Lytechinus pictus: one gene and its partners. The protein of the gene in region 2 purifies or fractionates together with the protein of the main gene of each other region. This does not show direct contact. Links are inferred from orthologs where the notes say so. Each region holds a gene or a part of one and is shown on either strand. Other genes may lie near its edges. The genes, in order: mitogen-activated protein kinase kinase kinase 1-like, axin-1-like and low-density lipoprotein receptor-related protein 6-like.

Region 1 (11,348 bases), on a different chromosome or scaffold from region 2:
TCCTAAAGTCATCTTAAAAATTCACAATCTAGACCTACATGTATATTAATATTGATTAATGATACTACAACATTGCAATCTCAATTGGCTCCCATGCAATTGCAATCACTAGATATTACGTACAAAGATGCAGGTCTATCAAAATTTATGTACACAACCAACAACACAAACACTATTTGGCCTAAACCATTCTCTAATAATCCAAGAATTATACAGAATTCAACTCTAACCTAAACCAAATATCCATTTACACAGTAACTTACCAACAGTAACTTACCAACACTGGAACAAGAATAAATCCAAATTTATGGTTCCTCAAGTGCAAATTATGTACAAAGATTTTCACATAGAAAAAGTTCAGTTCTCTTCCGTAAAGTACTACTAATACATTAGTACACCAACTGTCCCAACACAACTGACACTTTTCCTGTGTGTAAGCTATCATTGGCCTAAACTTTACTCATAACTGTACAAGTACGTCACAGAATGAATATGTCATCAGCTGTTATGGAAAGCCCAAGTGTACTGATCTAAAATCCAACCGCAAATTATCCTGTATACCGTAATACATGTACCTCAAACTACCTCAAATGAGTTGTACCGCAGCTGTGGATTTAGGCCTACAAAATCACTGGAGCATGTGAGTTTCACCTGACAGTAGCAGGATTGTGGGTGTCTACTGGGGATTGAATGTACTTTGATCTCAGCCGTTGAATGACACATCACTGTTTTGTTTACCTTTTGTGCAGGAATGTTCAGGTTAAGTAGGAAATGCATCTTTTGAATAGTCAAATAATTAGTTGTAAAACACCTGTGTTGAACTTGAACAGGCAGGGAGATAAACCTCCTAGATCAAGCAAACTGTAAATAATTATTATAAAAATTTGAATTATTTTGGGATGATCAGATGGCAAACAAAGTTTTTTTTTCTCTCTATCTCCCTGTTCTAATTTTTGTACAAGTTGAGCCAACATGTAGCCTATATATGCCTATTTCCAGTTTCTTGGGCCATTTCATTTATTTGTAATGAGTTAAAGAGAAAATTCACCTTGATACATGTACATGTATGTTCATTTGAAGAGAAAGAAAAAATATATAGAAAATTGTTGGTACTGGTAATGGTTTGACAAATATCCAACAGAGAAAAATAGAGTTAACATTTTTAATTTAATTTTGAAAATGGCCATGTGTCAGACATGTAATGTAGGTTGCCCATCAAAAAGGTGGTGCTGTTTACATATTTTTGGTTCATTTCTTGAGTTAATATTCATTGATATTTTCAAAACCAAAGGTGCTATGCCAACAAGTTTGGTATCATTTTGAAGCTGAATTCATTGGCTAATATTCTAGAAAGTTTCATTGCTCTCAGATAAACAGAACTTGAGTTACAGTACATAGTCTTTAAAATGACAAAGCACCAGGGGCGGTGCCAAAAGAGGTGCCACCTGTACAAACTCAATGGGGATTCTCAATATTTTGTGCTATTTTGGGTAAAACGTTAATATTTTTGTGAAAACTTAACTTCCAACAACAAATCTGGTATCATATTAAAGCTAGAGCATTCTTGTTTTACTGTTCATTGATTGAAAAATAAGTTTGGCAATGTCATTGTCATTTAAAAAAAAACAAGGTAAAAAACATTGAAATGAAAAAGAAATAAAAAAATTGTCCAAATTGTTCACTTTTCACAATTCATCCATATTGGCACATATTTTCTTTAGTTATTCTTAATTTAAATGTAGTTTTTGTGTAAAAACCAGAAAATGTGATTTCTACTATTCTGTACTAGTTAACTAATCTGTAGGATGAAAGTTTTGTTATAGATCTAAGGTCAAATTGTCAGAAATTCAGTCCAACAATACGTGCAGATTTTTAAAAATCATTCTATACCTTAAATCAGATGAACACAGCAGATATACCCACCATGCAATGGTAATGCAGGCAAAATAGCACACACATTACGTACATGTACATTTCTTTCTTTATTTTGTTGTTGATTTTGAAGCAATTTCTTGACCATAAACCTAATATTAAAATTAAACATTGTTAGGAAGATCTGACTCTGTACTGTACATAAATATGATTATATTGGTCAAAGGGGGTCTGATACAAAGTATTATGATCACAATTACATGTATGAGGTTAAAATAATTATTAATCTTTTTCTATTCAACACAACACTTATGCCTGACATAAAATGCTAATTCTGAGTGCTTATTTTGGTTCATTGAGCAATATCCTTTCAGAAAATATAGGATAGGGGAGAGAGACTTTCAAGTTTAAGGCGGTGCAAAAGCAAAAGTACGCGACCTCATGACACATGACCAGATAAGAAAACAGTCTAATGAAAGTTAAAAGAATTTTTCACACAAAGGATATCACAAGCCAAAGAGGGACAAATTTGTACAATGAACATGTACTGTAATAATCAAACAATACATGTATATTTTATTTTGAAAACTAAAAATATCACCAGATACAACTGCCAAGAAAACAAAAAGGCCCAGACAATCTTTCTACTTCAACATAGAAACAGTTTTATCATTGTTGTTGGGCTGAATGGGGAAAAGGGAGTACTTAATTCAGAGAGATTAACAAACAAAGGTGACCTGTTTATAGACCATGTCTTCAATGAACTCAATACAAGGAGCATTTGCATAACAAATACTCTTGTCAGAAACTTGATACTGAGCTGGAATAAATTGGTGATTTATACCTTGGTCACATTTGCTCTACGGCGGCCGTACAGCGAGTAGAAAACAGCCGTTTTATTAAATTTAATTCAAACCACCTATATATAGTAGGACAAAAATGTTAAAACGGCTGTTCTCGACTGGCCGTACGGCCGCTGTAGAATAAATGTGACCAAGGTATCAAAGACTTGTTTACAAGATCAGTATCACAAGAAATGATTGTGATTGTTGAACAGAAGACAAACTGCCCCATAAGAGTATACATTTAAACTCCTTTTTTTAGGGGAGTGGGGGGAAGGTATCATGCTCTGACCTACATGAGCACAACACTGTCACAAACACACAAACAAACAAAAACATTTACTGATTAGGTCTGACCTTTAGTTAGGTTATCAGTCTAACTGAACAGTATGGGGTGGGGGTAACAATCAGGCTTCAATAAGGTCTGTCTTGAGAACACATGCTTTGTTCTTTGAGGGGGCGGGGCATCTTTGGATCCAAACAACACAATACATAACAATTAAACCAATAACTTCAGTTCCACTTCCCCCAAGTACAAAGAAAAATATATATTTTCAGCCCACTCCATGACTGAGAGCTCTTTGGAATTATACTCTTCAGCTGTATTGTACTAGGCCTACACTTGAAAATAAAATTAAAACCTTAAATTAATAAAACCTACCTTGAAGTTAATAAGTATTTGATTAAGATTTTCATTGAAGCATATTTTACAAATTATTGTTGTTGTTGTTATAAAAAATTGTAGAATAAGAGTATGAATTTCTTAGTTAATAAATTATATTACCGGTACATACATGTAGAATAATGGTGAATTTCCTATAATTGTAAACTGTGTTGTTACGTGCAAATAATGACTGTCCAGATATTTATAATGAAAAAAACATTTATATTTATATATTTATTATAAGAAATATCAATTTACAAGTTTATCAAGTGAAAAAAAAAAACAATTACCCATTTTGTTTAGGCTCAACTGAAGTAGAGTTTCCCGGGAGATGTTTGGCGACAGAGCCCCCATCATCAGTCGGTGATTTCTGAGAACCCGAGCTTCCACTCCTCCTCCTATTGCGAGAACGTGATCGCTCCCCCGACCTTCGGCGAGACTTGCGAATGGCCCCCGATCCAGAACTTGAGCCTTCTCGTTCCCGCGTACTTTCAGCTCCAGATTCGCCACGTTTTGATCGCGATTTGTGAGGTCTTTGTTCTCCTGTTTTTTCCATGGTATAAATCCAATTTTGAGGAACGGTTCACGATGAGAAACGAATCATTTCTATAATAAATCTCACAGCAGATTGTACCGTTACCCAGTCTTCAGTGTATTCAAATTTACTTCGAAAAATCGATCGGATATGTACATAAATAAAGTAAAAACAATCCTGAAACCACCTGTCCAACTCAAAACTCAGTCAGATTTCTTAATCCTTTTCTAGTTTTCGCGCTGAAAATTCACGTGGTTTCATGACCCCGCCAGCACAATAACAATATACTCAGTCAGACTTTGCATTGTTCAAACCAAATTTCTGCATCAATCGTTTTGTGGTGAGAATATTACCAAGGAGTTTACCCAGTAACAAAGTCCAAGTCTCTTGTGCCGCCTACGCATAGAGTCAGCTTGCCAGCGCGATGCTACCGCCGGGAATATTTCCCATAACAATAGCAGCGTGTATGACATCATCGGGGTATTTTTGTTGGTGGAAAACTCCAAATCGAGCAAAGGGGTGGTAATAGTGCGCACCCCACTGAAAGCCAAATTGGGAGGGGTGTCGCGGTGACTCATGGCAAAATTACAATAATCAATAATTCAATAAATATTTCAGCAAACAGCTCGAAGACTATTGCCGACTATTTTGCATGAATGTTATATGCGGTGGATAGAGAAGATGTGATACATGCCCGATACATGTTAACGGCTAAATCGGGGGCTAACAAAGATGAAGGTTTAGTAAAATGAAGAAAGAAAGACAATATAAATTTCACAATAGAGATATGCATACGTTGGAAAAGAGATGGAACTGATTATGCCAAACACTCGGAGATGGCGGCAGGATATTTCGGTCGGGGATCTTTGGCAAGCGATTTTAAAGTGACGCCACTTTTTTTCATTTGCAGACACGGCATAGACTGCATAATTCCGGCCCCGGGCCTTTCTCCCTCTTTTTCGTTATTTTCTACTTTTTGTCAGTCGCTCCCTGTGAATAATCCATATATCCAAATAAATATCAAAGTTCTTTTTTTTAACTGAGGTTTGATAGCAAAGAAGCCCTTTTGCCCTGAATCATGATAATCTCATATCTTAACTTTTAATGAATAAAAAGTGAAATAAAAGGTATTTCAAAGGAATACAACAAATAGTGTAAGTGTGTGATCATCGGCATAGCCCTGGGAATATTGTTCAGCATAGGCAGCAACCTGGCTGGACACCAGGTTGGGAAAAATAAAATCCATAATTTTGATTAAAAAATCACCTTTTTGAAACGAAACTCTCTTACTTTTTGCTTGTAATTTTTTTCTGACCGAAATCAGCTTCATTTTGGAACGAAAGTTGGCTTGTCATTTTTTTTTCAAAACTACCCCCCCCCCCCCTTCTTTCAAAATCGTTCCCGGGGCCCTGGCCTGATCATCGACTCAGCATTGTATACCAATTTATGTTAAAATGCCATATTTCATTTTATTTTTACATCCGATTATCATGAAAATTTAAATGTCATATCGTTGGCTGTATACACTGGCGGATCCAGGGGACACATCCGGCCGTGCCCCCCGCCCCCTTGAGAGAGGGATAATGTTTTTTTTTTTTTATACAAATATGCCGTTCTAACAAAAGTGTGCCCCCAGCCATTAAAAGCAAGGACCCTTTTTAATTCATTTTTTAGCTTGTCAAATTTTCCTCGGGAAAATGTGCCCCCCCCCCCTTGGAAAATCCTGGATCCGCCCCTGGTTGGCTATTCAACTCACTGGTGGGGCAGGACTTGAGCTCAAGTTAAGATATATATTTTTCTTTATTATATGCAGTATGAAGTATAGGAGATTCGGGGCCGGGGGGCAATTTAGCCATAATAAATTAACCCCAAGAAATGAAATAAAATGTGAATTAATTAGATATGTAAATGGGTCAATGTTCCATAAAGAGGGCATATAGGTCTATTATCTTGATTTCTTTAAACAAAATTTCATCCAATGTGGATAAATGCTCGATCACATTCCATTAATAAAGCAAATTTAATTCTATATAACTCCAAATTGTTCTTGATCTCCGAGCGAATCTCAGGATTGTGTAAAATAGTCCTGGGCATAAATAATTTTGAGCGGGCAGAAAATTCTAATCTGAAAAAGTCACGAGCGAGAGAAAATGCTGACCTTTTGTTTGATTTTTCGATTGAGTTTGACATAATTCAGAGCCCATTTCCCTTGTATTTCCTTTTCTCCTCATTTAGTTTTCTTCTTGGCCGTGCCTTTTTAAGGGGGCGAAGTGCCCCAAGACTGACTTGGTGTTGTCATTTTTTTCAAGCAATCTGCTTATAATGGCAATCCTTCTCTTGCAAACTGTAAATGTTAAATTTTCTTTGTTGGTGTTTAGAATGACTTTTTTATTTTATATTTTTTTCTTTATGATTCATACCAAAATCAATGACCGATATATTATGTTTGTTACGTAATGAAAATTGTATTGTATACGAATGATGAATGCAGAAGAAAAATAAATCAAATCAAATCAAAAATCCCATCTTTCGGCACCATGGCCCGTATTCTGAAATCGGTTTTAACTTAGACCACGGTCTATCTCTGTACTAAAATTATGGGATGCCACAAATATACAAATCCTGTTTATAATATTTCTTCTTGTTTACTATTTTGGTTTCGTTTGCTTTTATAATGACGGAAAGTACTTCAGATATCATTCACAGACAATTATGGATAATATGAGTGTCAAATGAGTTAATAAATTGGATGTGTGCTGATAGGGATTTGTGCCCGAATTGGCTCTCCATAGTTAAACCTCAACTTTAAACCAGGGTTTCATTCAAACCTGAGTTCAGAATACGGGCCTATGTGTTTGTGTGTGATGTCGGTTATAAATATACATACCTACTATACGTGAAAATAAGGGACACTGAGAGACAACTAATTCATGATTTCATATATTCTCTTGTTGGGGGAGAATTCATTTTTAATATCAATTCTATAAATCTTGAAAGATTTAATTTCAACTGAACAGAAGAAATAGACTGGGGCCCGGGACTGGGGCTCATAGCTTACCAACAGTAGGAATTCTTGATTCTGATTGGCTGCTGAGCCAGGTGTACCGTATGACAGTAATGACAGTAATATTTATTCTCAGATCACCCCAACGGGTATTGGAGAACACTACAAGATTTGAAACATATTAACATTTGAATTTTAAACATATTTACATAAAATATATATAAACAAAAAATACAAACAAGAAACCCACATATTTCACTGAAATATTATGATAACATATTATAATAAGATATAAATAAATTATTTCTTGAATTACTAAATTTTAGAATTAACAGAAAAAAAAGTAAAACATGATGCGTACAAAGGCACCAGCAGCAAACTAAATACAAAAATTAAACAGTTTATCAAAATAATAATACATATGTATCTATATCTATAGTAATCAAGATAAATTATTAAAAGACAAATAAAACGAAATAAATGAATACTTCTATTCTTTGATTACTCTATCAGAAGCGAAGCATAATTATTTTACAAAATTTAGCCAGATTGAAAGTTGCCATTATGAAGATTGAAGGTTGAAAGTTGCCATTATGGCAAATGCGCCATAGTCAAGGGCATGTCATACACAGCGAGGGGGCAGTTGTCCCCAAGAAATTTTGAAAACTTACATTCACATGATCTCAATTGTACTCTAGGAAATGCCAAAACACCCCATGACAAGCTTCTTAAAAAAATATGCTTCTTGCCCCCTGGGAACAAAATATGCGTATGACCATGACCGTACATGGGTCCCTGTTTCTTAAAATATGAGCAAAACTTCGACTTTCTATATAATCAAAGTTTTGCACCAGATTTCATGAAATTGCTTATCCTACTACAAGTAACCCTCCCCAAAAAAATTCTGGAAGTTAAAGGGGAATCCAGCCTTGGCCATAAAATGTTGTGTTGGGAAGGAGAAAAATAAAGTGAACAGAATGGTGAAAGTTTGAAAGAAATCGGACAAGCAATAAGAAAGTTATAGCTGCTTTAAAATTGAGATCACTAATACTATGTAGATTTCAGGGCAACTGGGTAAGTAAATTATGACAAGGGGCAAGGACAACTTTCGCATAGGCCATGTACTTTATTATCAGGGATTTGTGGTTTTCTCCTAAGTACCCATTCCCCTGGGGCAGTAATCTAAATATAACCCAGGTAGTATATTGTTTTATGTCCTCATGAAAGAAAAATATAATTTGAAATAAAACTTTTGGGAAAAATGAAATTTTAGCCAAAATATGTATTGGAGTACATGGAAGAGTAGTCCTTGCCTTACATCACTATGACATCCCATATGCGGCCAATTTGAAGTCTCAATGGGTATAGTGATTACCAATATTTACAACTGTTAAAATTTCATAACTTTCTTGTTGTTTGTCCAATATTGTTCAAACTTTGACCTATCAACTTGTCTGATTTTTCTTTTCCTTATTAAAGATTTTATTTGGGTTGGACTCCCCTTTAATAAGTACTTTCATTTTAAAGGGGAATCCAACCCAAAGTTGAAAGGTGAAAGTTTGAACAATATTGGACAAACAACAAGAAAGTTATAAAATTTTAAAAGTTGTAAATATTGGTAATCACTACACCCATGGAGACTTCAAATTGGCCGCATATGGGATGTCATAGTGATGTAAGGCAAGGACTACTCTTCTATGTACTCCAATACATATTATGGCTAAAATGTCATTTTTCCCAAAAGTTTTATTTCAAATTATATTTTTCTTTCATGAGGACATAAAACAATATACTACCTGGGTTATATTTAGATTACTGCCCCAGGGGAATGGGTACTTATAGGAGAAAAACCACAAATCCCTGATAATAAAGTACATGGCCTATGGGAAAGTTGTCCTTGCCCCTTGTCATAATTTACTTACCCAGATGCCAATTTGAAATCTACATACTATTAGTGATCTCAATTTTAAAGCAGCTATAACTTTCTTATTGCTTGTCCGATTTCTTTCAAACTTTCACCATTCTGTTTAATTTATTTTTCTCCTTCCCAACACAACATTTTATGGTCAAGGCTGGATTCCCCTTTAACATTTATTACAAAGTTACTAGAATTTGTGATTTTCGATTTTGTGTTTTTCATAGAATTTGTTGCTGTCCACGATACCCCTGCCACCCTCCCTGCCAATATAACACAAGTAGTGCATTTAATTTTCTTGTCTGAAGGAGAGCAGCATTTAGACATTCAACTTTGATCGATGCTTAGTCCTACAACATCGTTGGAGTAAACTAAACTAAACTAAACTACCCCCCCCCCCCCTCCCCATCTGTCGACATTACGAGTATTCGACTTTCTTTCGCAAAGTAAAAGTACACCCCTATTATTATGAATGAAATCGCCCTGCGATACTCAAATTAACGGGTGCAACATGGCGCTGTACATCCACCTGTGCGGCTTGGCGTTGACGTGACAACAACAAAGCTCGCTTCCGGATTCCAGCGGATATCTGTGCGCGACTGTCTCCGTAAATATACCGGTGCTTGTCGAGTTAAGAATCCTCTATTGTGTTGCGTAGTACAGTCTGTAGATTGTTCAATGACAATGGAAGAATAGCTACCGTACCCACACAACCCTCCCTGGTCAAAGTTCAAAACGGCCAGCCCGTCGGTACCGGTACCTATGCTAGCAAGCACAACTGCAACTGAGTGACGTGAGAAGAAACTTGGCAATAAAAAAATGGATGGAATTCTGGAAGTCATGGATGATTCCTTGTCTATTTTGTATTGATCATGATGGTGGATTATCTGATCTAACTTTCAAAGTCTGCAATAAGTTAAACTTAAACGAGTAAGGTAGGTTACAGGCCAGCCTCTGAAGTGCAACACTTTTTAAGTTAACACTAAAACATGTAAACAATTTTAGTTTAAACTAACAAACCATAGGCCTAGGTTGTCGATAAATGTATGAATCTGATCAGACACTTTACTTTCACATGGGTGTAGTGTACGTTGATAGATCCTAGGCCTACCTCAAGTGATGTCTGTGCAGGCTCTACTTACTTAGCCTTGCCTTGGCCTTGAGTGAGGACTTCGTGATGATATTTTTTATTATTTTGACATCTCATTTGACATTTCACATTGCACTAGACATCTACTTAACGTTACATAGACTACCAAACCAACTGTATACGCAGTTGTTGTGTGTCCGGACAGGTTGTGTGTCCGGACGATCAATTTTAGAAAGTCATTTGGAAAAAATTACAAGCGAAGTTTCATCAATTTTTAGTACAAAATGTTAGAAAATATTATAGAGAACAAAATAGAAGATGATTACAACTATTGAATTCATATTTTTAGTGTAATCTTAAGACAAAAAAGAAGGCTTCAAAAATATAAAGTGTCCGGACACCCGACCCCCCATCCTACAAGAAAAACTAGGCCTACATCTACAGAATTTAGTGGAGGAAGAAGGGTTTTTTTTAATTTTCACTTTGATTTTTAATTTTGTAAAAGATGTAATACTCCTAATTAGCTAACCAACCTCTGTCTAGGATATATCATAGTCTCCAAATTTGAAATTAGGTCTATGATAAAAATTTATTTTTCCCCCTTCACATTCACAGGCAGTCAGGCTTGTCATCTCAGGACTGAACATTCCTTCCTCCGGTAAACTTTATGGCAAAAAGATGCCACATCCTGGCTGAGAAATGAAGAACTGGGTGATGTCCTCGTCTAGAAAAATGGATCACCCTCATCAGTTAATAGCGTGTTTAAAAATGGACTAACCTGACAAAAAAAATGATGGAGGATAAAAGTCTCTTTGTGTATGATTATGTTAATTTGAAGAACAGGCAGCTCATCCGGAAACATGGAAAGGTTTGTATTATATGAGTACAATATTCTATGTGGTAAAACTGATGACATTTTGTATGAGGCATTCCAAGAAACCTCCATGTTCAACTGAGAATCATGAACACAGTAAAGCCCCAATGAATTGAAATTGAAGGTTTCAAGAAAGTTAATTTGCAACTGAATGCAAATTAACTTCAAATTTTGCTATTAACCAAAGGATTTACACTTCACTTGGGGATTTCCTCTTTATTTGAAGTTATAAGTTTCTTGTACTACTTCCTATTAGTCATTGTCAATATCACTCTCTGGAGTTGAAAATACTGATGAAAATAAAGTGCAGATGGACCCAAATAAAGTTAAACTGATGGTGTTGTCAGGCAAGGTAGTGAGGTACAGTGAAACATATAGGCCTCTATAATATAAGAGTCTTTATACCACCCAAGGGATTGAAGATAAGTGGTCTCCTTGAGCAGATCGTCTTGACAAACGGGTTCCTTAATAAATCCTATATCCCCAAATCATATAATACTCGATATTATAATCCTAGAATTTTGATATGTGAAAACTCCTTAAGGAAAACTT
Region 2 (10,556 bases):
TTTGAGAGAATGAGTTCAAGGAGAGAGAACGAACTGTGATATTGTGCAACGAGGAAACCCATAGTAACGTAAGTCTTTAAAGCTGGTTAATTGTCAAGGTCTTTGACACTGAAATTCTTATGAATTCGAAATTAAGACTTTTTCCTAGAGTAATATGGTGCAAGAATAAAAGGGTTTAATCTAATGTTTGATCTACAAGGGTGATTCCATGCTAGAAAAATTAGTCATTTTCACAAATTCTTCTAAACCGCTGTCCAAACAAACAAGGAACTTCAATTTGTTTTGTGGTAATAACAAAGTTCTACATGGTACATGTAGTCTTGTGAAAAAATAACAACCCCCCCCCAAAAAAAAAAATCTTTCCATGGGTGCATAAGAGGTGAAAATATCGCTTGTCGTACTGGACGCAGAGATGTCCTGTACAGGTTGTTGTTGTTGTTTGTTGGATATTAATGGCGACCAGTCATATTTGACTATTACCGCCAACTCGTTAGGCCTACTATTATTTTCTATTTCTGGGTTCCAAGCTTTGCCAAAAAACAAAATTCTGTGGTTTGTCCCTGATGAACTTTAAAACTTCCCTGATAATTATTTAAACCCATTCCCAGTTTTGCATGTTTTCTATTTAAAGTTGTTGCAGTGAATAACATGTATTTTCAGAATATATTTAACAAATTCCCTGATTTTTCCGACTGGAAAAAGAGTAAAATAATTTTCCCTGATGGGCTGGGAATCCTGCTGTATGACATGCAATATTTTCACCTCTTATTCACCAATAAAAACAAATCACTAGCTCAACTTTATCATTGCCATAAAAAAAAAAAATTATTGATCAAGCATTCAGTTTAAAGACTACATATCGTTCTCTAAATGTCCCATATGACACAAATGGAATCGCCACAACAATGGAATGCCATTCAGAACAACTTTATAAATTGACACGTTCCACAACAAAGTCACTGGCTCACTGCATAATTATCCCTGCTCAATTTGTAGATACATGTAATAAGGTAAATTTGACTACACCAGATCAAAAACCACTTTGTGACAATACAATGAATTCATTATTACGAGTATTTTAATTAGCAGATAATGACCTATTTAAAATTAGGTAACATAATTTAACTCTTACAATGCACTTGAGATCTTGCATTAATATAAAAATATGTTAGGGGGTGAATTGATTTCCTCAATGAACAAGATTGGTCAGATGGAGATCATTCATAAAAACATGATCCTCTGCCTCAACGGCATGGTCCCCCATGGAACACTTTTTTTATAATAATGATCAGTGAACACACAACTTCAATTCATTCAAATTCAAATCAAGGTGCCACTACTACTAATACTAGGCATTTATGCTGTAATTGTGTCTAATACTTTAGTACATACTCCAGAGTCTACTGAGGAGACCTAAACCTACACAAAATACATGCTCTCTCGATCTCTATTGTGCGGATACACAAGATGCAGCTCGAAGATCGGCGCTACAAAAAATAGCGCCCACCACGCATTGACTGTGTACCACGGCACGACGTCCAGGGTTATGCGAAGAACAAATCGAACCTCACTGTTTTACCAGTTATTCTCAAATTCTGTTTACGCTTTATTTATGATCCACTTGTGTGATAATCCAAGATAGTAGATATCCGTGAAATCCAGTTTGGGCAGAGTTTTCTTGAATTATGGTCCAGACTTCAGCTACAGAAAGTAACGCCAACGGCCATGCAGATGGAGCCAGCGTAACGTAGTCTCGCTCTATGCATCCATGGTCCAAATAAGCGCCCCGAGAAAGCCACGGGACGGGAGTGCGATGTGTGGTGCATGCCGGACCGTCCAATCCAACTCCAAGTTAAACGTGTTTTGATGCAACATATCGTTACACGATATTTAAAGGAAATGAAAAGGTAATTTTGAGTTTTAGCCTAAAATTCCTCAATATGATTAAACTTGCACACTTTCCTTACCTTCTAATCATTGGAATGAAATATTATGTTCACCGCTGATCAGATTCGATGCAAGCAAACCGTTCGTACGCTAGGCATGGCGAAACTGGGCATAAAATGGCAAGTCACTTTGGATGCTCATGCTGCATACACACACACGTACACACACAAACAGGGCCTAGGAAGTTCTCAGTGTTGCAAAGTGCATGAAACATCAAAGCACATGCCCGCCGCCCGAAAAGCTCCCAAAGGGCAGTGACGTACACACAAACGACAAGCCGCACCAATCAGAATGCAATTCATTAAGTTGCCTGGACCACTTCCACTAGGAAATAGAGGGGTGTTCACCAAATCGTAAATAGATAAGGTATAGATAATATTCAAAGCACGTTGCGTTACGCAACACAGAAAACTCCAATAAGATAAATAGCGATGTGATAAACTGTATCGGCTGAACAGGCAAACTATCGTAATAAAACTTCAATAGAAGACAAAACTCATCTAAAAGTCTAAAAGTTTGCTCTTGTAACATAACAGGTCACACTGTCATTGTAGCGTGAGAAATGATTAGATTTTTCTTCTCCTAACCCTGGCTCTTTTCCTTCTTTATCTCTGAACCTGGCAGAAATGTTGATTTACACGGATGCATGGGATTTTATCAGTGTTCTAATACATCATACATCTAGGAATATCTCTTCTCGTATATTCAACAAACATCATGACATCCCTTTAAAATAGTTTGGATTAGAGGTTTCAAAATACCGTCACCCTCTTGTAAAAAGTCTGTTGAAATTAAATTAAGTTTGGTTCTTAATTTTGTTTCTTTCCCTGGCCTTCCTTCCTGCACTGATGACATGGTCCATCGCTTTTATTTACAATGAAAACTAGGAGAGCGGCGTCGTATAAATGCACAGTCGAGATTTATTCAGGCAGTAAAAATTCACTGGCTACAATTGTGATGACTCGCCGTCGTTTTTTATTTGTATTTTATTTTTACAACCTGGACTCTCCTGGCTTTATTCCTCGCCTGGAATTTACAGGGCGTTCATTCTATGACTCTTGGCATTCAATTGTGATTGTGATAAGTGTGGTATACAGGAATACCAAATATGAATATTAAAAGGGGGGATAACATCATTTGTAATCAAGTTTCTGACATATTCATGTGGCCTATATTATGCTGAAGCAAAATAAAATGAGGCCCAATATAGATATACTTGACATTTCTGAAATTATACGATAGCGATAAAACAGGCAAACATTTTCAAATATTCAGACATTATCATAATCACAAACATTTGGGGTCCTTTCCCCATCACCAGTTGGTCAAGATATATGACTAAAAAAAAGGCTCTATGGAGAATTTTCTTTAGTTTCTTTCTTTGAAAAGGTAGTCCTTACACTATTTAAAGCATATTAGCAAGCAAGGAAAGCAACTAAACTTATCACAAAGACTCTATTTATTTTTTCAAGTTGAAAAGAGAGTATTTATCTTACGGCATTTTTTCTGGAAATTTGCAATAAGAGGATTTTAGAAGTCCCTGCGCATCGACACACCCTCCCTCCCTTCACCAAAAATGGAACGAAGCTTCATTTTTTAAGCTGGAATCGACACCGATATTAACAATTACAACACTTTTAAAAGAACATCATTTAGATAATAAGAGCGTTCAATCCATGAGTGGAAATAAAAATAGATAAATAAATGAATGAATAAATTTAATAAAAAAAATCAAAATAACAAAAATATCCATAGCATATATAGGTCTCTTGGTATAAAGATAATTTTTTCAATGGGGTGACTTCATGATGTTTTAAGAGAAACAATGTTTGAAAAAAGTGTTGAATTTATGGGAAAACCTCAAAAGTCACCGCTCTCTTCCTCTAGGCCAAATAGCCTAATTTATAGATATATGCCTACATAATGAAATATATATAGCATATATATAGCATATATATAGCAGTCGTGAACAATACAATCATTTGAGTGTACCACAAATTATATACCAATTAAATGAGGTTTAACAATAAATGCAATAGCCTATCCGCAAGTATTTCAAGCACTGGTATACGGGTGTGATACGGGGGGGGGGGGGTAGGTGAAAGAAAATACATCACCTTTCAATCATAAATTAAGATTTTTTTATTAAAAAGTTAAAAAAAAATCACTCGATTGGCACGCTCATATATTGTTTGGAAAATATGCCACGTCTGGCCTCTCTTTTTTCTTTTCTTTTTCTTCTCATTTCGCCACTTTTTTTCAAGGGAAGTCGATCAAGCAAAAAATAATGGTCCTATATTTTAATAAATCAAAATATTAAACTATCATTAACAAAAATAAATCGCCAGAAACAACGAGGTATACCGGTGGCAAAAGGAAACAACATATTTGGTTAATATGACTTTACCTGATTTCGTCACTGACTCATTTAAAACGGTGACATAAAGGGTCTACCGTCTAGCTATAGATGTTCAATTCCTGTGTTCAGATTCATATACTCGACCGGTAGGTCTATAGTAAATAATTTGTTTCTTACAAATAATTCTCAGACGATTAATTTTTGAAGAAAGAAATAGAATCTCTAGATCGCTGTTCTCCTCCTAAGCCAATGAATAAGCAGGAATGAAGTCGGAAGGCGAATCGTCTATCACAAACGATGGCATGAATATTACAGGGAGGGGGGATACTGGGGATGTACAATAAGTTGAACCGCGGAACTGTTAGTGCGGGGATACCGAAGCGAGAATACCGCCTTCATTACTCCGCTCTTTACGGGTGTTAATGATTTATCGCGAGCAATAAAAATAAGCCGACTCTCTGTGATCTATGCCGACACGAAGCCCTGCCAATTCAACGTATCGCCTCCATATATACCGCAGCATTCAACGTTCTGCTTCTATTGTTCATCTCTTCACATCTTCCCCTCTATTCTCCTTCCCCTCAGATCTATCAATATTCATCCTCTTCTCGCTTCCTCTTTCTATCTGTCTGCCTGTCTTTCTCTCCCTTTCCCTCCCCATCTATCTATCTTTCTATCTATCTATACCAACCAACCTACCTACCTACCTATCTATCTATCTATCTATCTATCTATCTATCTATCTATCTATCTATCTATCTATCTATCTATCTATCTATCTATCTATCTATCTATCTATCTATCTATCTATCTATCTATCTATCTATCTATCTATCTATCTATCTATCTATCTATCTATCTATCTATCTATCTATCTATCTATCTCTATCTCTATCTCTATCTCTATCTCTATCTCTATCTATGTCTGTCTGTCTATCTATCTATCTATCTATCTATCTATCTATCTATCTATCTATATCTATCTATCTATCTATCTTTTTATCTATCTATCTATCTATCTATCTATCTCTATCTATCTATCTATCTATCTATCTGTCTGTCGATCTATCTATCTATCTGTCTACCTACCTACCTATATCTATCTATACCAACCTACCTATCTATCTATCTATATCTATCTATATCTATCTCTATCTATCTATCTATCTATCTATCTATCTATCTATCTATCTATCTATCTATCTATCTATCTATCTATCTATCTATCTATCTATCTATCTATCTATCTATCTATCTATCTATCTATCTATCTGTCTGTCTGTCTGTCTGTCTGTCTATCTATCTATCTATCTATTTATCTATCTATCTATACCTTCCAACCTACCTACCTATATACCTTTCTCGGGCTATCCCCTTTGTTTTATATGGACCTATGCATAGGTCCATGGTTTACTCATCTCGTTTTTATAAACGTTATGAATAAATATGTTTTTATTGATTGTCTCCTGACGCGCTTCGTACTTTCTCTGCCCTCTCTCTCTATTTAAAAAAAATATATTTACCCCTCCCCCTTTCTCCTTCCTCATCAAATATTTCTCTCTTTCACCTAACCTTCACCCGCCTCTTATCCGTCCGCCCAACTATTCTTTCTGTCTCTCTTATTCGATCTGTTCAGCTTCCAACAAAAGGAGGGAATGTATTGTTATCTCGTCTTTACATGATTTCAGCCGAGTGTAAACACATTGTCCCATATTTTATTGGAATGTAGAGCATACACCATAAAGTCCTGCCATGATCGGTCCATATCCTACCAATTACTGTCATGAGTTCGTCTTGTTGTAAACTGGAAAAAAATAATGCCAATCCACAGGCCTAGATCTGAGGTTCGCAAATATTTCATGAACCCTCCCGCTTCTGGTTGTAGTACATTTTAATTCAGCTTTTATTATCTGGTTTAGAACCATTTGTGGATTTCGATGATTATAACATTTGAAATCGAAAATATTTCCATTTTAGTGAGAGATGTGCATGGCTTTGAACGTTGGAAGCTAAAACAATCAAGGGCTCGCAATTTTGGAAGATTACATCATTATCTAAAACTAATCTCAATCATCATCGCAGAAATACGCTGATTAAAGTGATAAAAGCTATATAACTGACTGGAACTGAATTAATGTTTATTAATTTCCAGCCAAGTATACAATGAAAGCACCCCCACGTTGATATCGGATGCAGCTAGGGTGAAAATGAGGGCCCCGAATGAAAAGTGGAAATGGGATATGTGCCTAATGACTGGTAATTACTAGTATATTGTTCACAACGGTCTTGGGAGAAATAAGCCCTTGCATGAATTCGGATTTGAAAAGGCCCGAAAACGGCAACTCATCCCTGCCCACCCCAACACTCACCCACACCCTCACATACACGAACATAACCTTACGGAGAATTGCATTTTGTTTATTTTTCCTTTGTCATGATACATTTTGATGTATAAATGACATTTTTGTCTTAATTGGGTACTCCAGGCTGAAAATAATTTGATTTGAGCAGATACAATAAAATCAGACAAAATTAATAAAACGCTCAACGATTTCATAGAAATCGGACAAGGTATAACAAAGTTATGGCATTTTTATTTTTGGCATTTTCATTTTTGACATTATTTCTGTAGAACAGTTTCTGTGCCTATCTTCATGATTATGCAATGGACAAGCTGATGATGTCATTATAATAATACAGGGGTAATAGTATATATGCAGCGCTTAGAAACCTTTGTATTAAGCGATATATAAATGTTGCATGTTATTATAATTCATATTATCATCCCCGCAAATTTTGTATTTGATTATAATTATGAAATTATATCGTATTTCAATTTTGTCATCCAAGTATTTTAAAAAAATGATTGACTGTTGATGCAATGTGTAAGATAATAATTGCTACGACTTATTTTGTTGCAAGGGAGACATTGTGATATGAAATAATCGCTATTAGATTTTTGTGGAATTTTTAGTGCTTTGCTCGTTTGATTTACTCTATTTGTGATTTTTATCATTCTTTTCAGCCCTGAGCATCACCTTTAATTTATAAGGGTTTGGTTATATCTAATATTACTTTGATTACGGGGGTCAACATTATCTGTAAATGTGTATAATAATAAATTTAGCCTAAATGATATGTATAAACAAACTATTGATAATTAGGTCTGTAAGTCAATGTCTACAGGGCTCTTTTGTAAAGCAGGCCTTTGGGCACCGAAGGATTACCTTGCATTTTTTAATAAAGCTGCATAAATAAATAAATATCATTTTTCATTTTTTCATTTCATTTATTTCATATTAAACACCTTACAGAATATTACCGAAAATTACAAAAGAAAGAAGAAATTGATTCGTGTACATATAAAGGAGATACAAGAGATAAACATACAACAAAATTGAAATACAATTGTAACTAATGTGACCATCAGGGCTAGTAAAAGCAGAGCTTATCGAGTCTAGCCCCGGCAGAAAAGGAGAAGGAAGGATAGGCCCACCCCGGCAGCAGAAGCGGACCAGTGATTCCATATCGGACACGAGGAGCCGCGACCAAGGATAAATAAACAAATAAATAAAAAAAAATAATAATAATAATGGTAAATAAATAAATAAATAATAAATAAATAAATAAATAAATAAATAGATGGATGGATGGATGGACGGACAGACGGACGGACGGACAGACAGACAGACACACAGACAGGCAGACACACAGACAGACAGACAGGCAGACAGATAGATAGATAGATAAATAGATAGATAGATGAATAAATAAATGACTAAACTGGACTGGATCGAATCCACCCCGGGCGGATAACTGAAGCCTGCGTTGTGTGTAACCCCCCCCCCCCTGTTCCTTACTCTCTAAATGCGAATGAACCAATCTCCCTAATCTCGATTCCTCTTCCCTTTGGAGTGAACTGTACATTCTTTTATAGTGCATTATGACACCTTTTGGAGTGCATGTGCCTCTTCTTGCACTTCACTCCAAAATGAGTTAAATGCACTCTAAAAAATGATGTACAGTTCACTCCAAAGGGATTGGCCCCAATTATCACTCCAAGAGGAGTGTGATTGGGGACTAAATATTTTTTTGCATTTAGAGAGTAGATGCAGGCTATGTTACAGTGGAAAACACTCCGTCCCTCGGATAGGACGTTAAATGGATGCCCCATGTAGGGAATAATACGAGTAGGGGGAAACCCCGGTGTATTGGACCACCTGCGCCCCCCCCCCCCCCCCATCATATCGGGTGGAGAGACCTGCGGATCATTGTGATTCAGTTTGCTTTGAAATCACATCCCAGGAACAGGTGACGCCAACCAAATAATAATAATAATAATAATAACAATAATAATGATAATAATAATAATAATGATAATAATTACAATAATAATAATGATAATAATATTAATAATAATAACAACAATAACAACAACAATAATGATGATAATATTCATTAATTATTCATTTTTATTTATTGGGTGAATTCAATGGCAATTCATCATTTGGGCTGCAATATTGAATAAAATGATCAACTTCTATCACACTTTTATGGAATGAAAGTTTTCAACTAATTCACCAAATCAAATTTATTCGAATCCTGTTGCAAATAGTAAACTTTTAAGCTCAAATCCAGCGTGTGACCATGGATATACTAACACACCCTATAGTGGTAATGGTGACGGTGGTAAAGGTAGTGGCGATGGTGATGGGTGCACTGGAGTCGTGATGGTGGTAGTGGAGGAGGTTGTGGTGGTGGGGTGGAGGTGGCGGCGGTTGTTGCTTTTCGTACTTATGAATATGAACACACATACCTGAACACTGCACTGATGTTTGAGTGTAAACGCCTCTTCCTGTTGGCGAACCCAGCATGATGATAACCAATCGGTCTTTTTGTGTGTGGTACAAGTTAATTCACTTTGCTTGACTGCCCTCTTCACTCGTGTTGTCAAGTGGCAGACTTTAATCCTTTTCTCCTTTCTGCGAATAATATAAGACCTTTTCTCTCTCAACTTATTTTTTTTATGAGATTCTTTTCATGCCCGATTCGCTGGCATTCCGTCATTGTGATCTTGTAAAAAGGAGCTCTGAAAAAATCTAACATGGACAGAGAAAAAATAGCAGAGGATGGGAGGCTAGAAAAAAGGGGGAAGAGGAAGGCAGGACCTTTTCAGAAGGTTTGTTCTAAAGAAAGAGCGCCGCACCGGTGATATCTCAATTATTCGAGCCTCGTGCGGACAATATGACTATATAGAATGAGGATAGAGGCTTTAGAAAAGGATCTCCAGAAAAGAGTCTTTGATAAGGTCCATCTCTTTTGTCTCCCTTTATCGCCTCTTCTTTTCCCGATTTCTAAGGAGCCCTTTTGATCTGAACTTACAAATGCGTATCAGGAGTATGTCGGTGTCAATTGTGTCTTTTAGCCGATTTCTCTCCATTTCTCCCTTTTGATTTTGTTTTTGTTTCTCTTGGTTGTTATTCACACTTTGAGAGAGATCAGAGTTTATTGTCCAACCAACGTCATCAGTATCTGTGATTAATACATCGTGTAGGTATTGTAAGTTCATCATACTTTATGGCAGGCAATAATCAGCTTTGTATAGTTATTGTTTTGTGCGTTACTTGTGAAGGGAATGCAAATGTCACCTTAATTCCAGCGAAGATTCATTACTAAAATAAATTATTAAATATTACTATTATTGTTGTGTGATTTTGTTATAATTTTTCTCATCATCATCAATAATAATAATAATGATGATAATGATAATGACAGGCGCGGATCCAGAGGGGCACGTGCCCCCCCCCCCCCCCCTTGAGAAGCAAAATTAAAAATTTGTCATGTAAAAATGGCATGAAAACAGAGGTGTGCCACCTCTTTTGAAATTAGAGCCTTTTTTTCTTGTCAAATTTTTTCGGGTACGAAATATCCTTTATATGTGGTTGAAGACCTTTTTTTTGCTTGTCAAAATTTTCCTACAAAAAATTTGCCCCCCCCCCCTTTGGAAAATCCTGGAATCCGCCCCTGGATGATGATGATGATGGTATTAATAATAATAATAATGATAATAAAAACAACAACATATAAAATTGGAAAAATTTATATAGCGATTGATACAAGTTTTCTAATCGCTACCTACTATATATTACCCGGGCTTGAGCAGGGCTACCCCGATCAGGTGCTCTAGCATACAAGGAATTTCTTCCTACCGGGTACTCATTTACAACACCTGGGTGGAGAGTGGCAAATG
Region 3 (10,944 bases), on a different chromosome or scaffold from region 2:
GATTTGAGCTGGCGCCCTGAGGGGTAATACTCGCTATACGCAAGCATTAGTGCTCGATGGATAGAAGAAGACGAGATAGATGCACGGCCCGAGGGGACTTAACATCATGTCGTTTGTCATGTAATGCTAGTCTACCTTTCACATAGCCGCAGCATCGCTGCGAACATTTGCCGGGCCCGTTGCGTTGCTACCTCGGCGTCGTGCACCAGGCGCCTTTAATGCGCTGCCGTCCATTTCAATATTTATGCCAGCCAAAAGACGTGGGTTATATTATGCGAGAGGAGATGAAGGATGAAGATTTGGGGGATGTATTTTCGACCAAGCTGCTTAAGTGTGTCTGTGTGGGGTATTGTGCGATTCTTTCATCATACATCATGTACTAGAATGCCATAAATTGCAAAGGCATGTTTATCATATCTCTGAGATATAAGTTGTTAGCTACACAAATATTGTGCATAATTTAGTGCTCCCTCCTACATGTATGTAGTATGATGTAGGCTTACATGTACATGGAGATACAGTACATCCATACATACTATTACATGTACATTTAATACACCCTACTTAAAACTTACTATACATTTTAACATTTATATTGCGCTTCTTGTAAACATGTTCAAAGGGCTTTGCTTATATAACATAATATTCAATGAATAATTCTACTCTCCACGTGCTTACAATATATTGGGTGGATGTTACAGAGAAAATAGTAGGTTTTCGCTTGTTTTGTTAATAATTGTACTGAAGGAAATTAGTTTTCGATGAGAATTTGTCACTCTTACATGTATTTATCCCTCCCATTATAATCTATAGTGAAGATGATTATGATAATTTTGTATGCTAATGAACCGCAACAACATCAACAGCAACTAATAATAATGATAATAATAATTGATTATGCAATTAAATCTAAACATGATGACCATGTTTGATTGATGATGATGATGATAATGAGGATGATAATGGTGATGATAATGAGGATGATAATGATGATGAGGATGATAATGGTGATGATGATGATGATGATGGTGATGATAATGATGATGGTGGTGGAAATGGTGATGATGAATGATGAAGGTGATGATGATGATGATGATAATATTGATAATGATGATAATGATGATGATAATGGCAATGATGATGATGATGATGACGAATGATGATGGTGATGATGATGGTGATGATGATGGTGGTGGTGATGATGATGATGATGAAGAATTCATGATAACGAAAATGATAATGGTGATGATGATGATAATGGTGATAATGATAATGGTCATGATAATGATGATGATGATGAATGATGAAGGTGATGATGATGGTGATTACAGTTGCTGCCGATTACCTGCTGATATAGGCCCTAGGCCTTAATAACTGAAAATTGAATGGTAGATTATATGTAGCAAAAGTAAAGAAGCATGGAGGTATAGTCTCCATGCATGAAGTGCTTACATGGCATTACAGATTTAGATGTACATTTATTATAATGGAATTAAACATGAATGTAAACATGTGTACACATGTAATCACCTTCACGTAATTGTTTCATTTCATTCTTCTACTCATCTCAACAGGGTGCTACATAACTTTTTAGAAGCGCTTGCCCGGTCGGGCAAGTAAATTTTTTAATAGTTGGAATATACTTGCCCAAAAATCTGTCAGTTGCACGAAAAAATCCTTGAAAATTTTTTACCTCTTCAAAAAAAAGTTTTGCGGTTTTATAAACCATTGACCTTTTTCTCTCTTTTGACATGAACTGATCTACCTTGTTATTGCATTTCTTTTTCCAAAGTGATTTTATCTTGCCTGTCATGACCAAAATTAGGGTCAATATCATATCGACCCTAATTTTGGTCATTCTACTGTGAGAATTTTGCTTTCTACTGTGTGAATTTTGCTTGCCCAATTCGGGCAAATAGTTTTGGTCTTTACTTCAAAACACTTGCCCGAATCTAAATTTTACTTGCCCCGGGCAATTGGGAAAGTGCTTATGTAGCACCCTGTCTCAGTATGCCAAAATTTAAATGCAATCTGAGAGGACACCATTTTCCAATTTCCATTCCAATATATACTTTTTAATAATGATTATCACTTTAAATTTTAACCATTTAGGCCTAATGCTTATAAATCAAAGCTACGGTATGTTTTTGTTTTACGAATTAGAGCATGGTCATTATCAATCACTTTTAATATAGGCCTTCGTATACATTTATATGAATTTTACCAAGGAGATATACATGTACTACATGTACATGTATGTGGAAACTTGTATCTCAGCTCCGTGATTTAACCATTGAATAGTTTTAAGGCATTAATTAGACAAGATGTATTTTTTTCTTCATTTTTTAGATCATGGTCAGTTGGTCATTATCAATCACTTAGGTAATTGAATCGCCATTATGGCTACATTATGACAAATTGTGTTATTATATATTTTTTAGAGGCAGCTGTAAACCAAAAAGATTTGACAAGATTTGGAAAGATCGTCTCGAGAGGGTTATTATAGCAATACCTTCCTTCCGTGGACATCGTATGAAATTAATTTGGCTTAATTTGGAGGAGTATCGTCTTACAGAGAAGCTCTGGGTAATTGATTGATTGCAAAGCATTTGAGCTGAGAAAATGGGAAGTCCATTCGTGAGGCCCCATTAGGCTTGCGTAATTGAGAAACATTCATCTTTGGTTGGAACCTTGTTTTATTGTTCGTTTTGACGAGTAGTTGTTTGGTTTCTGGCAGGAAATATTAGAATGACAGTATGATAAATGGGTTTGAATCCCTCTATTGCAGCAGTGATTTGCAAAAACAGTTACTTCATATTGATGTTTATTTTCATGATTCTCTTGATGACTCCTATTAATCATAAAGTCATGTTAAAATGATATTATTCATGGAAACTATCATGACTATTTCCATAGTTTTTTTTTCTCCTACTTTAACCTCAATTTTTAGTTCATGAAAAAAAATCTTGTTTTTTGTAATCATGCTTACAGTGTAAATGGCATTTGTAATTTCATGTATCCACAGATCTGTATCCTAGGAAAATAATTTTAATCTCTTTTGTGATTTTGAATATTTTCTCCTTTCTGCCAAAAAATTTGAATTCAGTTCATGCACTTAATTATTGCTTTTACTGGTACCCTCCTTAATAAATTTCAAAAAGAATATTTTAACACCTGTGACCTGTTTCCCCTTTTTTAATTTTATTTTTGTTTATATAAAAGCCACATTACTACATGTAGATGTAGATGTACAAGCCTATACATGATTATTGTGATATGATGAGTAATCTGAAAATTTGTCCATGGCACTATCAATTCCGCACCATGTGCACTATTTTGAAGAAAAAATCACCTCTTCTACATGTATGCTACTAGACTGTTCCCCCCCCCCCCCCCCGTTAACAATTTAAAACAGCTAGAAATGTGTTGATAATTTTGCATGCATGTGAGATGTACATGTAGGCCTACATCTATAGTACCTCCTGGGATACATGCATGTTCATACAGTAAGATAAATCCTCATGTACTCTATATGTATGGCCTAATAGGCCTATATAACATGTATACAATGCTATTTCCTCCGTATTCTGTGGAAGGCTATTGTTATGAGGTATTTTCTTGAGAAAAAAATGAAAGACTAAAGTCACTTCAAGCAGTGCACAGTAAGCCGTCCCCTTTTGAAAACCCTCCCTAATGAGCCAGGGCTATTTGGAGGTGTTCACTTGCCCCCCTCTTGGGACCAAGGGGGGCTATTCAGCACCCCTATACCCAGTAATCAGGCCCCCATTATGACCCCTGTATTGTTGTTGGGGAGAAGCCAGTCAAGATTTTGGGGCCTTACACTGAAGCACCATAGCCCACCAACACAAAACATGTTGAGATTGTGTGTGTGTATTGGGTCAGTATTCCAAAGCCATTGTGGTAAGGTGGACTCACTTTGTATACACACAAATACCACTGCATGGGGTGAAAAGCATCGAGTGGTGTGTGTGTGTATATGTGTGTGTGTATTGGAGGGCATTATCAAGTGCATGTGTGTGATTTGGTGGTATACAGTGAGTGGGTGCATCATGGAAAGATTGTTGGAAGAAAATAATGCTCTTGTGAGTTCTGTTCAGAAGGAGTTGATGTATTTATTTAGGTCAATAAATGGTTGACCCATTATGTTGGACAACCCTTCCATTGGTAGGGGGGGGGGGGTGAACAACTCAACCATTAGTATTATATGTAAAGGGGGAAATATTTGTTTACATGGAGCTTCGATTTGTAATAATTTAGAACTACAAACTCACTTTAAAGTTTAATATACATGGTAGTATATGGGTATGAGAACCAGGGATAAACATTTTTTTTTCAGCACATGCTGTGCCTGAGAAAAATATTATGCCCACATAGGTAGGCCTACATATTTATTTTGACCAGAACAAACTGTCATGTCAAATCAAAATACATCCACTATTAAAAAACCCCACTTTTTAAATTCCATATAGTTTTAAAGGGGAATAATATTGCTAACCCTCTTTTTTTCCAGGAGATTTACCGAAAGTTGTATTAAAGAGAGGCTGAAACCTCTATTTTTCGTTGCATACCATACTGCACTCTACATGTATGTTGGCCATTCATAATGCAAAACAAAATTATTAAAAATAAATAAATAACATTCAGTCATTTTGTGCATGCAACAGCACCGATCCTAATTATAGGCCTATCAATTGAGAAAATGAGTGTCATCATAGCAAACTTTTGCACTATTAAAGAGAAATTCCAGTAGTTGCAGTAAACACTGATTTCATGAGAAAGTCTGTAAAACCAGGCTTAATTGTCAGTATATCATCGAGGATCTAGATCTGGTACAGTTACATACATGTAAACTGAACTTTGTGAAATCTTGAAATCTACGCTGAAAAATGTTCAGACTGAACTTCCCCAACACAGATAAGCGCACGTGGGACTGTGTATAATTATTGCTTTGAGCGTCGGGCCCGACGCTCTACCCGAATCCTGTGCTTATTTGCTGATTTCTCAGCAATTACACAATTTCTTCCAGAATCCTTTGGCATATGCGTTTTATTTATACAAACAGACACTTTGGTGGTCATTTCATTGGATTCTGTACGAACTCATTTTGATATTGTTACCAAAACTAGCATTTACCTTTAAACATGCATTCAATTTTATGCATTGCAGTCATGTTCTGTTTCTCAAGAAATGAATACTTCAATAGTGATATTACGTTTATTCTAAGAAAATCTTCTGGAGTACATGTATTGCGGTGAATTCCAGTTGTATTCCTGCAGGCTGACATGTAATTGTACAAAGGAGTTTGTAATTGTGACCCGAGTGTGCTTTAATGCACTCAATACAATATTTTATAAAACAAATATTGTATTACTTTTATTTAGATAGAAGGGCCACATACACTGTATGTATGTAAATTATTTAAAAAATGATGACTTTCTGAGTTAACAGATGACATCCTCAGTTGCATCATGGAGCTATTCACACAAAATAGCTCCATGGTTGCATTGAATGGTTTTGGTTCATAACTTGGGAGTACAAGTTTTTTATATATATATTTGTATGGCAATGAGATAATAATAATAATAATAAGCAGTTCTTAGAGACACATAATACCATGTAAATAGTCTCTATGCGTGTAGAAGAATTATTGTTTTCTATAGGGCTAATACATGTATGTGTTTCTTAAAAAGATGTGTTTTTATTAAACACTGATTTGAATCTGTTGAAATTACATGTAATCACTGGCTTTGATGCAAAATTTGTGACCTATTAAAAACTGAAATTTTTTTTTCTTTGTTATTAAAATTTTTGTGACGTACATATGTGAAATTCCAAATTATTATTAATGCTAATTATAAGATGCTGACACTGAGTAGCCACAACCCTGAGTAGCCATACATGTATGCCTTCTTGTAGGCTTACATGTACATACTCAACTGGTATCATATTCTTTTTATGACAAACTGATTTTGTATGAATTTATGTTAACAAAAAATGAAGAAATTTGTGAAATGGAAGAAAATAAATGTTCATATGGAAAAAAATATTACGAACAAAAGAAACAAAGTTAAAATATATTCATTTGTTCTTTCCCCCTACCTTATCTACAGCAAATACACAACTCCTATTCGCAAACCGGCGCGATGTACAACTCCTCACCGTGCCCGCTTCCAACTTCTCACAGACGTCTTCCGTCACCGTCGTCGAGGGCCTCCAAGATGCCGCGGCCGTCGACTTCCTCTACTCGCAAAATCTCATATTCTGGACGGACGTTAGTTTGGAAGCAATCAAAAGAATGTTTATTAACGGCTCCGATGTCGTCGAGGACGTTATTACGACGGGGCTCGTCGCCCCGGATGGACTCGCCTGTGATTGGATGAGCCGAAAATTATATTGGACTGACGCTGATACAAACAGGATAGAAGTCAGTGAGATTGATGGGAAATCAAGAACTGTTTTATTTTGGAAGGATTTACATTTGCCGAGAGCAATAGCGTTAGATCCGGAACATGGGTAAGTGTTAAAAAGCTATCTTTGATTTGAATTGATTTGATTTTTTGTGTCACATTCCGAAATAGTGTATTATTCATCTGTAAGGTAGCATCTGTATAAAATAAAGGTAAGGTAGCACCATAAAAATACATGTCCATGTACATGTAGGTCTAAGGCCTATAAACATTAATTATATGGTGAATATTGACAATCATAATGTAGGATGGCAACCAGAATTTTTATTTTATAGTTCAAACAATATTTATCACTTCACCGTACAATCACTACAATGTACTATGTAGATTGTAAAAACTTGAAGATGACCCCATGGATCAGCTGTGTTGAGACGGTCCCTAATGCCCAGGCAGCATTTTCCATATTCCTCACACCAGGCTCCTCCATGGGGTACGGCCCTGACGTCCTGGAAAGACCGCTGGTTCCTGGATGGTAGGAAAAACACTTCCCAACTGGGGCCATGTCGGTCCACTCTGTGTAAAATAGATTGGATCTTTTACAGTAGGCCTACATGTATGTACAAATGTACTTCATGAGGGAAAGTTTAGTTCTCTTTTGACATTAAAAGAGTGTGCATAGGTGCCTGCTACCACTTGCACACTACAGTTTTGTTTTTACAAAGCTTTTGCACTTCCCAACTTGAATGATGTCCGTCTACCTTCTAGCCTACATGTACCTATTGGTAGGCCTACATGAACACTTGAAGAGGAGTAGGCCTAACAAAAAGTTTTGTAATGATAAAGTGAAAAGTCACAGGTTTGAAAAACTGTGAACCATTTAGAAAGCTGAAATATATAGGCCTATGTATTGTTATTCATGAATATAGCAAAATCTTCCGAATTTGTAGATCTAGATGTAAGCTGTAATCAGCAAGCAGTTAATGCTGTGGCCTGTGGGTGACAAGAACCACTCACAATCACAGAAATTGATGTACATGTACCAGACTACAAAGTATGCAAATGTTCAGAATTTTTCTTAGTTCAGATAATTTTTGTCATTGAATATTTGATTATTTGAATAGCAATCCTTTGCATCGTAAATCTCTTTATTACATGTATGTCTCCTAAAATGAACAAACATGAAAAGAACTTGAAAACTCACATTCATTGTTTTCACTTTTTTTCACAACAGTAAAGTTTCTCTTTAAGCTTTGGACACATCGTGGAGACAGTTCAGTAGTATTTTAACGACTTTATGACAACTAATTGCAAATTGTCCTTGGTGCTTAACTGGTCATTCAACCAAAGGGATGTCTTGTTGATTACCATTCAACTCAAAAGTTTTATGGTATTGTCCGAGCAATTGGTCACATAAAACTCCAGAGTGGCAAATACGAGATCTACTCAGTCTACTTTTAAAGGGAAATGCAAATATGCATTCAATTCAGTTCAGTTTTAGATTATAAAACAATTTTTTTGTAGTAGTTGAAAGACTTGTATCACTCAGTGTTTACATTTAAAAATTATATCCAGACCTAGATACTTTTTAATAGGCCTACATTTGAAATCATTATACATACCGTAGTCACCACATCATCCACATCTAGCTTTTTTTGTGTGTCAAATATACACAAGGAAAAGACAGAATGGTTAACGTTAAGAGATTAACCACTTCAAATTAGTTTTGAAAATATAACAATGATAGTGACGACACTATGATAGTGTCCATGAATACAAGAACCTGGAAATGTGCAAGTTTGTCAGATCTACATGTAGGAAATACTGTTTTCATAAAATATTGATAAGCTTTTATAACTTCAGCAACATTGCAACCATTTCTTCATCAGATCTTTCTAGAGACCTGTGCTATTTCTTGCGATCTATTCAAACTATTGCTGTTTTCAACAATGATGTATTAAACAGGCAATGATTATTATAAAAGCAAGTTTGATTCAAGCTTTTTAGGTCAAAAGAGAAAAGCTCTCAACTATTATCAAAGTTCTGTACAGTTGGTAAATATCTGCTACAGCGTCCATAAAAATAGTTTTTGTGTCGCAGTCTTTTATGTGGAGCAAATTGTGATGCGATACCAAGAAAATTATTCCTATTCATGTGCATAATAGGTAGACTAGATAGGCCTATTGCTCGAAACATATACAATCTTGGAGATGTATTGAACTGTATTTTACATACACGTACATCATTAAAAACTATAAAGCAATGGCTATAATTTTATAGGGCATTTTATACATGTAGGATTTGTGTAGTGCACATATCCGTCTTGTTACATTTAGGTGCTCAAGGCGCTCCTATACCCTGGCTATAAAGCTAGTCAACCGATTCCGGTGCTCACACTTTGATAGTTCCCAAAACTCTTGAAATAACAACCGTACATGTATGTATAATACCAAAATTTATGAAAAAAAAAAGCGACCATCAGATAATATTTACACCCATATTGGTCATTAGAAAGATCTGTTTAATTAGTGGACTGATAGGTCTTAGTTTTTACACAGAATGTGTACTGTAGGTCTAAGTATGCTCATTCAATATTCAAGATTCTTTTTACATGTAATTGGTCATTGTACGCATACAAAGAAATTTGGTTTCCAATGGCTTTAACAATGAAATATACACAAAGATGAAAATACACAACAGTATTGGAGAACTTTACATGGAGAACTTTACATGTACTCATTCCTTGGTAACACTTTGGTAACACTGTGCTGCAGGCCGCAGCACAGATCTGTCCATCTTGTGTGAAACTAGGCATAAAGGTGGCTTTGGTCTAATGGCTAGTGCCTGGAGGCAAGACTAGCATTGACCTTTGACCTTGAGTTTGTCTGCTGAGCCTGTCAATCAAGCATTATTAATCTGTCAACCTTTGTAATGTTGTTCTTGGCACATTCACTGTGCTCTCATTTTTTTATGTGCATGTCTTGACTTGGCGCTGTTCACACCCCTCACATACAGACACAATGTTCCACTGGCACGTTCACATCCCTCGCTTTAGATATAACGTTCCACTCCACGACGAGGCCTATATTATTCACTTTTCCTAATTTCCATCTTCGGCATTCAAATTCAAGGTTCAACTTTCACAAATTTGTATAGTGTTCACACCTTTATGTTCACATCAAATTTATACAAAAGCTTGCATTGAGTGTTTGCGCCTGATTTTTCTAGTTTCTACAATAGGCCTCCCCCTCCCCTGGAAATTTTAAGGGGTAGGGTAGCTGGTAGTAGAGCCTGTGTTGCACAATTTTTAAAAATACAGAATACAAAAAAAATCTTTTACCAAAGGGAGGGAGGATGGGGGGGTGGGGGGGGGGCAAGGTCATGATCACATGCATTGTACATTAATATGACTTTAATACTGGATCCAGCACATATTACATGTGTAGCTTCATAACTCCATGCCTGCATGATGATGTATTGTCAATATACTTGATTTAACTGTCTGAAAGGGTCAACGATCCTTCCAAACGAAGTGAACGTACCCCATAGTCCTTCACTCATTCTCCTGCTCCCATAACCTTCATAACTGTTGATGTATTTGTCATGCCAGGAATTCACGGGTGTCAAGCCTTATTCTCTCCCCTGTTCGTCACCTCTCATTCATTCCCCACCCCCTCCCCATCCCCTTCTTTCCACTAGGTGTATTCAGACAATGATTTTACTAGCCATTGGCTAGTAGTTGGGCCAGTGTTATTTTGAACCCTGTCCATATGTGTGTATTACAGTCAAAGGCCCGTATTCCGAAGTCAGGTTTAACTTTAATAGACCATGTACTCTGTGCTAAAATTATGGGAAGCCAATAGTGTCAAATTTTTTTTAAATTTCATATAAAGTTGTATGTTTCTTATGTTTACTGTGCTCTTTCCTGACTCAACGATGGTGAAGACAATCATCTATTTATACTTCCTAGACAATTATGAATGATTTGAGACCCAAATGAGCTGAAATATGATATCTCTAGTGCTGTTAGTGATTTATGTAACAATTGGCAATCCATAATAAACCACAACTTTAAACCTGAGTTTAAGTTAAACCTGAGATTAAAGTTAAACCTGACTTCAGAATACGGGCCACACAGTGTTGCATATATCTGAAAAGCATTCTGTGTTCCCATCAGTTATTTTCATTTCTGTTTGTACAGTAGGATTCATGAATTAGGCTTGACATCCCAAGTTCAAATTAATTTCATGAAATTGGTATGACGTCAGAAACACGTACACTTGTGTACATTGTATGGAAATTATTTCTGCAGTCAAGTACATGTTGAATACACATGTCTCCATGGCCTTGTCGTTTTTCCCGAATTGCCACGAACAATATGGGTGCAATTTTTTTTTAAAATATATTTTTTGTTAACTAATGAAATAATTATATAACCATGATGAGAAAGGCACACGTAGGCTTACTGTACACTTAAATGCAAATGACATACACTGTACATATGTTCTCATAGGACCCC

The links.
Region 1: the proteins of axin-1-like (region 2) and mitogen-activated protein kinase kinase kinase 1-like purify together in Homo sapiens (affinity purification with western blotting; 5 studies listed by BioGRID and IntAct, with this or other methods). This does not show direct contact. The link is inferred for Lytechinus pictus from reciprocal best matches to the Homo sapiens genes AXIN1 and MAP3K1.
Region 3: the proteins of axin-1-like (region 2) and low-density lipoprotein receptor-related protein 6-like purify together in Homo sapiens (affinity purification with western blotting; 7 studies listed by BioGRID and IntAct, with this or other methods). This does not show direct contact. The link is inferred for Lytechinus pictus from reciprocal best matches to the Homo sapiens genes AXIN1 and LRP6.

Annotation. Positions count from the first base shown.
Region 1 is NC_087255.1:28,648,613-28,659,960, forward strand, and holds the start of mitogen-activated protein kinase kinase kinase 1-like, read right to left. Parts: upstream 4,324-11,348; 5' UTR 3,935-4,323; coding exon 3,669-3,934; intron 706-3,668; exon of another isoform or gene 278-705; intron 1-277. Other genes in the region: uncharacterized protein LOC129271131, read left to right, coding at 10,713-10,790. UniProt on the Homo sapiens protein: Component of a protein kinase signal transduction cascade. Activates the ERK and JNK kinase pathways by phosphorylation of MAP2K1 and MAP2K4. May phosphorylate the MAPK8/JNK1 kinase.
Region 2 is NC_087254.1:17,709,487-17,720,042, reverse strand, and holds the start of axin-1-like, read right to left. Parts: upstream 4,721-10,556; 5' UTR 4,355-4,720; intron 2,204-4,354; exon of another isoform or gene 1,968-2,203; intron 1,823-1,967; exon of another isoform or gene 1,424-1,822; intron 1-1,423. UniProt on the Homo sapiens protein: Component of the beta-catenin destruction complex required for regulating CTNNB1 levels through phosphorylation and ubiquitination, and modulating Wnt-signaling.
Region 3 is NC_087253.1:23,195,773-23,206,716, forward strand, and holds the start of low-density lipoprotein receptor-related protein 6-like, read left to right. Parts: upstream 1-6,136; 5' UTR 6,137-6,316; coding exon 6,317-6,534; intron 6,535-10,944. UniProt on the Homo sapiens protein: Component of the Wnt-Fzd-LRP5-LRP6 complex that triggers beta-catenin signaling through inducing aggregation of receptor-ligand complexes into ribosome-sized signalosomes.